2 linked regions of the Oryza sativa Japonica Group genome follow. The protein of the gene in region 1 interacts with the protein of each later gene in a pairwise test. Links are inferred from orthologs where the notes say so. Each region holds a gene or a part of one and is shown on either strand. Other genes may lie near its edges. The genes, in order: cleavage and polyadenylation specificity factor subunit 2 and flowering time control protein FY.

The links.
Region 2: the proteins of cleavage and polyadenylation specificity factor subunit 2 (region 1) and flowering time control protein FY interact in binary tests that used the Arabidopsis thaliana proteins (3 or more experiments, as listed by UniProt). The link is inferred for Oryza sativa Japonica Group from reciprocal best matches to the Arabidopsis thaliana genes CPSF100 and FY.

Annotation. Positions count from the first base shown.
Region 1 is NC_089043.1:27,166,137-27,171,997, reverse strand, and holds part of cleavage and polyadenylation specificity factor subunit 2, read left to right. Parts: intron 1-464; coding exon 465-633; intron 634-716; coding exon 717-813; intron 814-882; coding exon 883-1,009; intron 1,010-1,090; coding exon 1,091-1,206; intron 1,207-1,585; coding exon 1,586-1,680; intron 1,681-1,764; coding exon 1,765-1,916; intron 1,917-2,283; coding exon 2,284-2,341; intron 2,342-2,403; coding exon 2,404-2,511; intron 2,512-2,883; coding exon 2,884-3,136; intron 3,137-3,228; coding exon 3,229-3,410; intron 3,411-3,592; coding exon 3,593-3,688; intron 3,689-3,783; coding exon 3,784-3,882; intron 3,883-4,166; coding exon 4,167-4,298; intron 4,299-4,508; coding exon 4,509-4,553; intron 4,554-5,269; coding exon 5,270-5,434; intron 5,435-5,843; coding exon 5,844-5,861. UniProt on the Arabidopsis thaliana protein: CPSF plays a key role in pre-mRNA 3'-end formation, recognizing the AAUAAA signal sequence and interacting with poly(A)polymerase and other factors to bring about cleavage and poly(A) addition. Required for antisense-RNA-mediated gene silencing.
Region 2 is NC_089035.1:42,528,562-42,536,040, forward strand, and holds the start of flowering time control protein FY, read right to left. Parts: upstream 4,127-7,479; 5' UTR 4,003-4,126; coding exon 3,783-4,002; intron 3,678-3,782; coding exon 3,586-3,677; intron 3,344-3,585; coding exon 3,275-3,343; intron 2,500-3,274; coding exon 2,395-2,499; intron 1,841-2,394; coding exon 1,745-1,840; intron 1,668-1,744; coding exon 1,585-1,667; intron 1,463-1,584; coding exon 1,391-1,462; intron 1,305-1,390; coding exon 1,207-1,304; intron 1,082-1,206; coding exon 1,022-1,081; intron 953-1,021; coding exon 892-952; intron 801-891; coding exon 713-800; intron 159-712; coding exon 95-158; intron 1-94. Other genes in the region: probable ADP-ribosylation factor GTPase-activating protein AGD11, read left to right, coding at 6,204-6,265, 6,438-6,508, 6,925-7,018, 7,401-7,476.

The sequences.
Region 1 (5,861 bases):
TAATATTGCTTCTCAAGCTTGTCTTACTGGGCGTTGCCCCTCAACATTTCATGTGGTTTTTACATGGAACCTTCAGTAATTGCTTTCATTTGCTTAAATGGTGAATATCTATCTTAAGGCAATTATAGAGTGGCATGATCAAGGCAATTTTTTGCCTCCCTGTAATAGATAGCCTGCTTTCAGGTTGAACTCTGACTCATATTTATATTTATTTTTCTATGCTGAATAAACTTATTCTTGTTCGTCTTCCTTGATTGTTGAGTAATCATGGCATAGATTTAGTAGCAATTATCTCACCAGCTTGGTACTAGTAGCCTCAAAATCATGCAAAAGTTCCATTTTAAGCTCCCATGATCTTTGTTGTTCAATTATTCAAATTACACATCTGTAAAGATTGAAGGGAACACTTGAACATGTTTCAGTATTTTTATGGATTATGAATTTGATCAGTATTTTTTTTTCAGGGTTGCACCAACAATAGATGCAGTTCTTTTGTCTCATGCCGATACCATGCATCTAGGAGCTTTGCCATATGCTATGAAACATCTCGGACTATCTGCACCAGTATATGCCACAGAACCTGTATTTAGACTTGGCATTTTAACCTTGTATGATTACTTTATATCACGACGGGTAAGCTTTCTAGTGTCCATTTTAACCTCTTGTTTGTTTCATTGCATATAGTGGATCTAACCATTCTTTATTTTCCTTTGCAGCAAGTTTCAGATTTTGACTTGTTTACTTTGGACGATATTGATGCTGCATTCCAAAATGTTGTTAGATTGAAGTACTCACAGAACCACCTTTTGAATGGTCAGTAAGCATGCTGTTGATGTATATCCTTTGCTAAATTACATCCCCTTACATACTATTGATTGGCAGATAAAGGTGAAGGAATAGTTATTGCTCCACATGTTGCTGGGCATGATTTGGGTGGCACGGTATGGAAGATAACAAAAGATGGGGAGGATGTTGTTTATGCTGTTGACTTCAACCATCGTAAAGAGAGGTTAAATCCTTCCTTTGTCATTTACTTGTCATTTTAGTTTTCTCTTTATTAGCAAATAATAACAGCAATGTGCTTTTCCAGGCATTTGAATGGTACTGCTCTTGGATCATTTGTACGGCCAGCTGTTCTGATAACTGATGCATACAATGCCTTGAACAACCATGTCTACAAAAGGCAGCAGGATCAAGATTTCATTGGTACAACACTGGACATGTTATTATCATAGCTCTCTATCTCTATCTCTTTTTCAAATGCTTTCAGCTCTAGCATTACTACTATACCCACACAGCCATGGTTGCAGGTAACAGCTCATGATAATTTTGTTGGAAGCTGTTTTTTACTTATGTTTTCTCCATCAAAGTAGCACTGATGAATATATCTTCTATTTTCCAAATTTGCAACTTGGACACAACTTTTTTTATTTCTCAATTATTTTTTAGTGCTACACATTGTTGAGTTCAATAATAAACTATTAATATTTTAGACTCCAAATATATGTTATCGTGTATATGGTTTGTTTTAGTTACTGTATGGGAATCCTCTTGTGATGTCTAATTGACATCCTGTTTCATGCAGATGCATTAGTGAAAGTTCTAACTGGTGGTGGTAGTGTGTTACTGCCGATTGATACAGCTGGTAGAGTTCTTGAAATTCTTTTGATATTGGAGCAGGTGAAATCTTGAAGGTCTTGTTCTCGTACTGTTTTATTTTGTTATGTCAATAATATGTTCACCTTTTGTCTTGATTTATTGCAGTACTGGGCTCAACGGCATTTGATCTACCCTATCTACTTTCTGACAAATGTTTCTACGAGTACTGTTGATTATGTCAAGAGTTTTCTTGAATGGATGAATGATTCAATCTCAAAGTCTTTTGAACACACTAGAGACAATGCCTTCCTATTAAAGTACGAATGATTCTTGTTACTTTCCTTTTTTTCAGTTCATCGTTTTGTTTTATTCTGTGCATATTGACAATTGCTATGCATTGCAAGCCTGAAGATTCATGATGAGCTTATTATTTTACATTTCAACAGCCCAATAGACATGTTTCCTCTATTACTTTCTCCTTATGGAGTCATATTTATATTTTATCTCATTGGGCTGTCCTGTTATTACAATACTGTATTATCAGAGCCAATTCAACTGCCTCTTTTCCTGAATCAGCGCTATACTATTATTTGTTTATAAACTTCATATATAACTTTCTTAAGAACGATATTTGTATGATTGTTTTGTTTAGTTTCTACAACTTTTGTTTTTTCTGTGTTGCAGATGTGTTACACAGATAATAAACAAAGATGAGCTTGAAAAGCTGGGAGATGCACCAAAGGTTAGAGTAACATTTATTTCCTCCATACTGTCGGAAACGTGAATTTAACAAACATTTAGCAGGTGGTTCTAGCATCCATGGCAAGCTTGGAGGTTGGCTTTTCTCATGACATATTTGTTGATATGGCAAATGAAGCAAAGAATCTAGTACTTTTTACTGAGAAGGGACAGGTAAATCCATGTACTCAATATATCTGGATGGTTTATTTCTTTCTCAGCACATACATTCAATAACTAGCTACATACAAACCATTATAGCTTCAAACCTGTAAGTGACAAGTAGTCCAACACCTTGAAGGGGCCTTAGCAAATTGATTGCTACAACCTACATGAAACTTTTAAAATTTGTGTAAACAACATGAATCTTGATGATGAATCCAAACTTACGTCACGTTAACCATATCCTCTCTGCCTTCATGTTCCATAGATTTCTGTATTTGCAAAAACTGATCAAACATTTGTGTTGTTCTCACTCAGCAAAAGAATTCTAGCATCATATATCTATGTTCTACAGCTATCTAATTACAAAGTATCCCATTCCAGTTTGGGACACTAGCTCGCATGCTCCAAGTAGATCCACCTCCAAAAGCTGTAAAGGTCACTATGAGCAAGCGAATTCCTTTAGTTGGTGATGAGCTGAAAGCTTACGAAGAAGAACAAGAACGGATAAAAAAGGAGGAAGCGCTAAAGGCCAGTCTAAACAAAGAGGAGGAAAAGAAGGCGTCTCTTGGATCAAACGCAAAGGCTTCTGATCCCATGGTTATTGATGCCAGCACATCTCGCAAACCATCCAACGGTATAGCTAGGCTGCGTTTGTAAGACCTTTACGATCTGATGCAATATATTATATGTGGTTAACAACCCTTCTTGGCTCTGTGGTTCCATCAGCTGGTTCAAAGTTTGGCGGGAATGTGGATATTCTCATTGATGGATTTGTCCCTCCATCATCAAGTGTTGCTCCAATGTTTCCTTTCTTTGAAAATACTTCTGAATGGGATGACTTCGGTGAGGTTATCAACCCTGAAGACTATCTGATGAAGCAAGAAGAAATGGATAATACTTTGATGCCCGTAAGTTTGCTTATGTACTTTTTTTCTTTTTTTTACAATCGGAACCCTGTGGCCAGATGGTTTAATTTTGCCTGGAGCATATCAGCCAACTATGTTTAGGGTTTTCTTTCTTGGAACCTGAAAAAACTTGAAATGCCAACAAAATAAACTTGAATGTCAATGTTTTCATGAATTGTTTTCAGGGTGCTGGGGATGGTATGGATAGTATGCTTGATGAGGGCTCAGCACGCCTACTCCTTGATTCTACACCCTCAAAAGTTATTTCCAACGAGATGACTGTAAGTTTTTTTTCCCATTTACTTCATTTTGTCTGTCTGTTTATTTATTTCTAGAAAAATCTTTACTTCTATTTAATTATGATCAACATTTTTAGGTGCAAGTCAAGTGTTCATTAGCATATATGGACTTTGAAGGTCGGTCTGATGGGCGCTCTGTAAAATCTGTTATTGCTCATGTGGCCCCATTAAAACTTGTAAGTGCTGGAAATACCCTTCTTTTAGCATCCATGATTTAGGATTTAGAATTTATACTTTTTGACACATGATTATCTCCTTCTTGGAACATATATTTTTCTCACGTATATAGCTTGTCCCTTTTCAACAAGAAATTAGTTTGAAATTCCCTAAACCTATTTACTGATTATTATTGATGCCCTTGAGCTATGGAAACCATTTACAAATACAATTATTTACATTTCCGTTTATTTCTTGAGGGTAAACATGCCATCACATACTGAAGCTCCTGTTACATTTTCAGGTTTTGGTTCATGGATCAGCAGAAGCTACTGAGCATTTAAAAATGCATTGTTCGAAGAACTCAGACTTGCATGTTTATGCTCCTCAGATAGAAGAAACTATTGATGTGACATCAGATTTATGTGCTTACAAGGTCTGTATAACGTTTATGTTAACAGCCAAACTCTTATTATGTGTGACGGGCAGGCGTTGCCTGATGCTGGTGTCCAATTCTTATCCGATGACTTAAACAACATGAGGCAAAACTGAATAGTTGCCATTTACCAATCATTTTTACTGCACTATCACTGTATCATATATTTCCATACATACACAAACTTATTCACTATCTTTGTAATTTCAGGTACAACTTTCGGAGAAGTTAATGAGTAATGTTATTTCTAAGAAGGTAAGAGCATTGGTTTCCTCCTTCACTATTAATGTATTTTATCCTTCAACTGGTGCTAATAAATCTCCTTGATGTGGACGCTATCAGATGATATAAACTTGAACCAAATTAAGCTATCAAACTGATTTTTTTGCTTATAAAGTGAGCCAGATTCCCAGGACCATTCATGTTTCAGTAGTAATAAGATTATAACCAGAAAAGGCAGAACTTCTTCTATTGTTGCAAAAATGTTACTTCATATGCAATATGTATATGAATGACCGAGGTCCTTCCAATGCAGTTTTGAGAAATGATTGATTCCATACTGGTTACTGGATGGTCCATTCTGTTGCCCTAGTCAGTCGAATGTTTTTCAGCATAAGAAGCCTTTCATGACAAAATTGTCTGTGAACCAGATACCACAAGCCTGTGATTATTTCTTTTTTTTTTTGCCCATACAAGAATATGAATGACCGAGGTCCTTCCAATACAGTTTTGAGAAATGATTGATTCCATACTGCTTACTGGATGGTCCATTCTGTTGCCCTACTCAGTTGAATGTTTTTCAGCATAAGTAGCCTTTCATGACAAAATTATCTGTGAACCTGATACCACAAGCCTGTGATTATTTTTTTTTTTGCCCATACAAGTATACAACCTTTGGGGGCTAACCTGAAACTGCACTTTGTTGTTATGGATTAGCAGTAAGAAAGCACTAACACTGGCACTCTGTGCAGTTGGGTGAGCATGAAATTGCATGGGTAGATGCAGAGGTTGGAAAAACAGATGACAAGCTTACTTTGTTGCCCCCGTCGTCAACTCCAGCAGCCCACAAGTCAGTTCTTGTGGGTGATTTGAAATTGGCTGATTTTAAGCAATTCCTGGCAAATAAAGGTTTGCAGGTAAGTTTTCATTTTCAAATATGTTAGTACTGTATAATATTAAGTTCTTGGATATACTGGCCCTTCACGTTTCAGTGTTGAGAGAGAGAGAGAGAGAGAGAGAGAGAGAGAGGGAGGGAGGGAGGGAGGGAGGGAGAGAGAGAGAGAGAGAGAGAGAGAGAGAGCATGTCCTGACAGTTACAACTGTTACTCCTGCTCCCATACAGAACCAGTTGTTAGATGGCTCCTCTTAGGAGTACACTTAATATTGTTTGCATAACTTACTAGTAGCTGGAATACCAAAATCGATTAACAAAACTGTAATAGGCTAACTTGGAAGCAGATGTTAACCAGGCTGTAAGCATGAGTAATTATAGCTGTTGATACATTCTGAAACCATTGAAATTCAGGGCTAAGAGATTTCTTGCAGGTTGAATTTGCTGGTGGT
Region 2 (7,479 bases), on another chromosome or scaffold:
TACAACTGCTGTTTGATTGAAAAATGAAAAATGTATCAAATCTTAAACTCCAGGAAGGGAACCTAAAATTCAAATTATGTAGTGAGAATCTAACCAGTCACATCCTTGTTGTGTCCACGGAAGGATTCAAGCTCTTTCATGGATCTAATATCATATAGCTGCATAAAACACATTAGCAATAGCAAGTTAGAAACTATCCAATATAGTGTGTTTTATTTAGTAGATATGAAACAAACGGAACTTATAATGTCTTATTAAGAAAACAGAAAATATTATATTGAATTCACTTAATTATGGAGAAAGCAGTAATTCTTCTCTAGACAATAGTTTCAACCACCAAATAAAACTTTGTTTCAATAATTGATTATTACTCCCTCTGTTTCACATTTAAGACGTTTTGGCCTCTCCATCTCTTGTCTAGATTCACTAGCTGTAAGAATTTGGACATGCATGAATCTATTTAAAACCCAAAACGTCTATAAAGTGAAACGGAGGAAGTAGTCATGCTGAATAGCTGTTTTTTTTTTTCTGATGATGCGTCCTAGGGACATTAAAATTTTGCATCAACATTGAGTATGAACCCCCCCATTCCCATGGTATACCTCACTAGCACAAGCATGTCAAATAGATGAGAAAACTAAGCAGTGTAAACAGAACACTTTGCAGAAAGAATGGATGAACAGAACAGGGTACACAAGCAAAAAATATTGACCTTAATAATCTGATCCTTGGAGGCAGTCAACACCCAGTTCCCATTCTGATTCCACTTTACACATTGTACAATGTTTTTATGACCATGGCTGCAGATATAGCTCATCAGGTCATCATGTGCTGATGTGTTGCTGACTTTCAACATTAGCAAAGTAATACGAACGATGAAACAATACATACAATGAACGTAGCTCTCTACCACTTTTTGCATCCCAAAGTTTCACGAGATAGTCTTTACCACCTAAATAACAAAAAATAGAATTAGCTCTACACAAATAAGCTCATTAAACTAGCAAGCATAATAACTGACCTGAAACCAGTAAAGATTTTGTAGGGTGCCAATCGACACTCTTAACATCCCAACCATGGCCTGGCTGAGTATGAAGGCAAATTCAGGTTACTTGATGGGTAAAAATAATATAAGATATCATGCAATAACTTCATGCATGCGAGGATCAAGTAGTTCGGGCTCATAGAAAAGTACAACAACATTACCAGTTAAGGATCTTTCTTCCTGGCATCTTGCAAAGTCCCAAACCTTCACAGTAGTGTCATCAGAACAGGAGCAAAACTTCAGGTCTGTTCTACAAAAGCTGTTTAAAAGATGCATTGTAACAGAGAATGAACATTAACTTGGTATAGGTAAAGTAAAGAAAAAAGCACATGGGGCTGCCATCACCTCAAGTCACGAACTGATTCTCTGTGAGCTGTTTTATTAACTTTAACATTGTTCATGTTACTTTGCCAATACCTACAAAGGAAGTCAAAACGTGCACTTGACATGTCAGTGAAAAGATCAACATGTTAACTTAAGGATCAGTATCCAACAGGGTGACAGACTGACAGTGATAAAAATTCAAAAGGCCAACATACTTGATTGCACCACCATCATCACCAGTGACCATCCAGTTCTCATTGTTACTCCAAATCATTGATCTTACAGCTTGGTCATGAGCCTATTATCAAATTCCTCCAAAAATCAGCAAACTCAATGACACATTACTAGAAAATCTGGAGCAAAATTATAGAATACCTGAAGGATCATTTCAAAATTAAAAGATTGGCCATTCCATAGGGTGAATTCACCACTCTGTGATCCCGTAATAAGCCGACGCCCTGTGGGAGTCCACTTTATCAACAAATAACGATACATTAGACACATAAATGACAAAAGGAGAAATCATATTTAGCCTAATAATATCAACGTGGTACACAATATACGAATTCAGTTAGATTACACCAATATAAAGATACTTGGAATGGAGTTATCAACCCTCTGCACTAGCTGGTGTAAAAAAATTGGAACATTTTTCAAACAGTGTGTGAGCCTATCAAGTGACATTTTAAAGTTGTACTGCCATCAATCCTTAATTCTACCATAAAAAATGTAGAAAACAAGTAAAAATATAATATACCATCAAATATATTTGATTTAAAATGGTAAGAGTAGCTGCCTACAGATAAATATAAAATTAGATTTCAGAAGAAAAGGAAGCTCAGCAATAAGGTGAATGGTGGTGAACACCTAGAAGTTAGATCGATTCTATAGTTTTCAGCATTCTGAAGGTATCGCTGTCCTTCAGTGACCATGCACTAGCCAAGGCTTAGTGGAGCTCTTTGAAAAATATAAAAATAGCAGTTGGGATACTAGGAAAGCATAGAGATGGATATCATAGAACTCACCAAGACCCGATTAATAGAGCATCGGTTCTTGTTTATTGATGAATGTACAAATTTTGCAGCAAAACTTGTTGAGGGATTATCGGGGTATGCAACAGACGGCAACATCTGAAAAAAAAAACCCACATTAATCAGGATATCCAGATACCAGACAATGTATTCAAAATACAGTAGATACAGACAATTTCATAATCATCCAAACTGAACAATTAATTCATCAAACTTAATCATCTTTTGTCCAAGATGACAGCACTACCCAGTAATCAATCCAAAACCCTTAACCAAAATAGCAGCACTCAGCTAATTAAAAGGAATGAGACATAAGTATGTTCTACGTAAAATATTGCCTGAAGACTGAAGAGTTAAAGATCTAATTTTGTCAGCTTAATCCATTGAGCACCCTCAGTTTTACGTTGTACCATGGAGGATTTATCTCACATATATATCATAAATAACATCCAGACAGATTTACATAGTTGTGGCAAAACTGAAAACTTATGCATTAATTAGCAAGCTAAATGGCCCAAAAACAACAACCAAAGACAGGATCTGATAGGCACTCTCCCTAGATAGCAACAGGAGTTTGATTAATCCACATACAACAATCCATTCATACAACAATATAGTTTTCTTTTTCTAAGACTATCATTTTTACTGCATAACATTTCCGTTTAACCAGAACCTTGACTCAAGAATATTCAAGATCTTCCCAATCATGAGATTGCAAAGGACATCAATATAATGTACATAGTGGTTTGTTGAAATCCAAATTACAAAAGAAATGTGAGCGTCAGAAGTATAAAAGTCTAAAAACAGAAAACAGTATGGCAACTATCTTTTAACATGTTGGTTACAAGCAAGGCAAATGGGTAAGGTAACATACGTCCAGAACAGCAGCTGGAGTCGGCTGCACAGTGGGCCTGTCCCTAGCATCCCGCTGCCACATGCGAGCCTGCATGTCATATACATAATGGTGATCAGTGCTAGCAGAAGAATAAGAAAAATACAGGGTGCTAGATCTTATTGCACAGAAAAATCAACTTATGAGCATTTCATATTCATGTGATGTTTGCAGCAGGCACAGTAAAAGGAGCATATAGTAAGCAAAGTTCAACTGTATAATAGGCTCCCACAAAATAGAACAAAACATATATCACTATAACTGCTTGAGAAATAAGTTTGTTATATTTATACTTGAACATAACGGACGACTGTGCTTGTGTAGTCCACTGTTCGCCGCTGGACAGGCTTCCGCATCCTTTTAGCACCGAAATTGTCCCCATAAGCTGAATTGAGCCAAAATTACGATAACATAAGAACGCGCACCAATACCGCTGCTGTGCCCCTAACCCTAGCCAGCGACGAAACTACCAAAAGAGCGGCACTGTTACCGTCGTACGGCGGCTGGTTCTGCTGCGGCGGGGGGTGCCCCTGGTGCGCGGCGTAGTCGCCGGGGATGTTGGTGGAGGACGCCGCCGAGAGCTGCCGCATCGGCGGCTGCGGCGGCGGGCCCCGGTAGAACTCCCCGCCGCCGCCGCCCCCGGCCTGAGGCGGCGGCGGGTGCTGCGGCGGAGGCGGCGGCGGCGGCGGCTGCTGCTGCTGCTGCATCATCTCCGCCGCCGCGAGCCCCGCCGACCTGAGCTAGGGTTTTGGATCCGTGCGGCGCGGGGGTTCGGGGTTCTTCCGCCGAGGAGACGCCGCGGGAGGGTGAGCTCCGTGAGGCGAGTGGTCGAGTGCTGTGCTGCCTCGCTTGCCTCGCGAGATGTATTTGGGCCATACAGGCCCACTCTGGCCTCATTTAGATGGGCCTTCAAGGCCGGCCCATCCACGTTGACGGCAAGGATTTTTAGCCCATGCGAGGCCTCTCGTGTATTTAGCTCCTGTTGCTTCCAAACCAAGGTGCCAATATTTAGCAGTCCTAAATGATACTGAGGCAAAAAGGAAGCATTTTGCAAAAGTAGAGTTTCGTCATGAAAATCGGGCTTGTAATTTTGATGCTCACAACTTAGCTAAGTTTGCTTCTACTTTACAGGAGGGGCGTTATCTTTGGTTCTCAAATCCTCCTTGTAATATGAATAGGAATGTAAATGTGGATGGTAATAAATAAATTATCCGCTCTTTCTAAAAAAAAAAAAAGCTCCTGTTGCTTCCTCCAAATAAAAGCAAACTCAAAGTAGTTTTTCTCTAAACAAATATGCGAATGGTCTAGTGCTTCTTTGGATGAAGGGTTTTTACTTTTTAGGGGAGAAATTTTGTATTTTTAGATTCCGTAGGAGATTCTACTATATTTCATGGGAATTTAAACATTCACCTAGTCTAGGCAAATCAAGCTATATAACTTCAAATTATCATAATCAATAGTGATAGTTTTATTAAGATTTATATCTGCCTAAAAAATCCATATCCGGCGAATTTTATGTCAGACACAACACGTTATATTTTCCCCCACGTCCTAAATATATGTGTTTTTGCACGTGTATTGATTTTTTGTGCTTTTATATTCCTATATATTCTATAAAAAAAGATCATTAGGCATAGATCCTCTAGACTCGTTCTGGTATTGTACATGTGGGTTTCTAGTTGAATTTGATAATTTTAGCACCGATGTCTAGTTGTTTACATAATCTAATATTATTGTATGAGTTTCTAAGTGCGTGCATATCCACGTACCATGTTGTAGTTATTGTTGAAAACGTAAAAATGAAGTTGTCGTCGACCTTCTCTTTAAGACTTTGTTTGATTCAGTTTAGGATTATTATATTCTAGATTATTATAAATAAGTCGAAACAAACAGATAACTTATTATGATAATTATTACAATCTATGAGCCAGATTACTATAATATGGTAATCCACTCTAAAGGTGCTTTCTTTAATTATTGGGTGGCTAATAGCTAATAACGATCCGGTGTTGAATAATCAAGAATTTCCCTATCTTTTTTACCAAAAGTATCCAACAGTCCAGTAGAAACAAACAACTAACAGATTATTCTATGTCGGTTTATTATAATCCAACTTATTGTAATATGGCTCAATAATCTATATTATAATAATCTTAAACCGAAACAAACAGAACCTAAATCACACTTCTCCCACAATGAAAAAAAACCACCCACTGTAAAACAGTGTCATTTTGAAAATCACTAGAAAAAAAGGGACAAATAAAACTGAACCATATAAAATATTCATCCTAATTCCTCTTAGTCATACTAAAGATATAATGTTTAAGTAGATAAAGTCTGCCATAAACGGTCTACATGTCATCAAGTGTACAAATTGCGTGTGTTTTTGTTTTTTTTAAAGCCCACTTGAATCTCATAAACGACGGTAGGCTTAAGATTTCTTAGACAATCTATCAAATTGCATAGGAATTGCCGTCGCATGCATGAAATTTTATATTTAAAGACATGCGTTTGAATTTTCAAGGTCCATTCTGTAGTTTCAGAAACATTTACTAGTTTCAGGAAATATTTTTGCTGCTACATGCAGTGAACAAGACAGCGAAGGCTCACCGGGAAAACGAACCGCCACCGCTCCCTATTATTAACCCCCACCCAACCACTCGCTCGCTCATACGCAGCTCAACATTAAACAAAAACGACGGATCAACCATTTCCTCCTCGACGGCAAATCGCCGGCCCCCCACGAAGACTTGTTCTTCCTCCCGCCGCGCATTTCTTTAATCACTCGATCTGAGCTGCATCCCAAATCCCCCCCGATTTAATTATTTGCGGGGGGTGATGGATCCCCACATTGTCGTCGCGTCCCCTCCCATCGCGGGGATGTGATGTCTATGAGGAGGATAATAAGATCATGGAGGGGCACAAACCAGTGCACCAATTCGTTGATAGCCCCAAGCCGCAGCGCAGCGCGAGGTAAGCACCCCCTCTCCCCCCCTCCCATTCTTCATGCCCCAATGCTGCGACTGACGATTGCGATTTGGTAATTTTTGTTCTTTTTGATTGATTTGGCTCGGTTCTTGCATTTCATACGGATTGAGCTAATTCGGTGTCTGATGTTATCCCCACCCCCTTTGCATGTGTGCAGGAGAATTTGTGGAATGGCATCGAGGATCGATGCGAATGACCACGGCAATCAGCAAGGAGGCAATCCCCAAGGTTTCTCCCTTTTGATGTCCCCTTTGAAATCTTGGCATGTGGAATTGGATGCTGCCTACATTCCAATTGAAATTATAGAGTTGCTATAGCTTCTTTTTTTTTCCTTTTATATAATCGTCAACATGAACATCCGTTAGGGAGGAACAAATAAATATTAATTGTAAAGTGTGAAGTCTACTTTAGCATTCAACTTCTTCTTGGCTGCTGTTATTAATTTCAAGCAGAATGAAATACTTCCTGCCACTCCATTAACACTTAGCAAGTTTCTAGACAGATGAAGCTAGTTGTTTCAAAAAGAAAGAGGGAGAAGAAGAAGCTAAATGTCCCCTTGTATTGTATAGAAATCCAGATGAAGTTGCTACTTATCCATTTGTTGTTTGTGATAATGACCGATGTTCATCCATGATTGGTGCCAGGTCCAGTTGGTACAGCAGAGAGATTAGAGCATCTTTTAAACCAACCAGCAAACAAAATTTGTGCTGACTGTGGTGCTCCAGATCCCAAATGGGTGTAAGTATCCATGAATCCCGTAAGTGCTTTTTTTAAGGAAACAAAATCTGCAGTGTATAGATGTAGCCTGTATGCAGATCATTTTTTAAGATTTTGAAAAGAAATTGTTCTAGCTCATATATGGTGTGTATTCCCTGCTTGACTTAACTGAATTCGAGCTGAACATTTTAAAAATGTAAAGGTCAATGCAATTTACATTGTAGTAACAATTGTTGCATGTGTGTCGTGAAAAAAAAAATTCTTGCATTACAATTATCTGACCACTTATTTAGTTGAAGCAAAATTAAGTATATCTTATTCACTGTTGAGATACCATTTCGTTTTGTCATGGTATTTCAGCCAGAGTGCTATATACTAATACTAGTACGTCTGGTGTGTGCAGGTCATTGACTTTTGGTGTGTTTATTTGCATCAAGTGCTCTGGAGCTCATAGAAGTCTTGGGGTGCACATATCCAAGGTA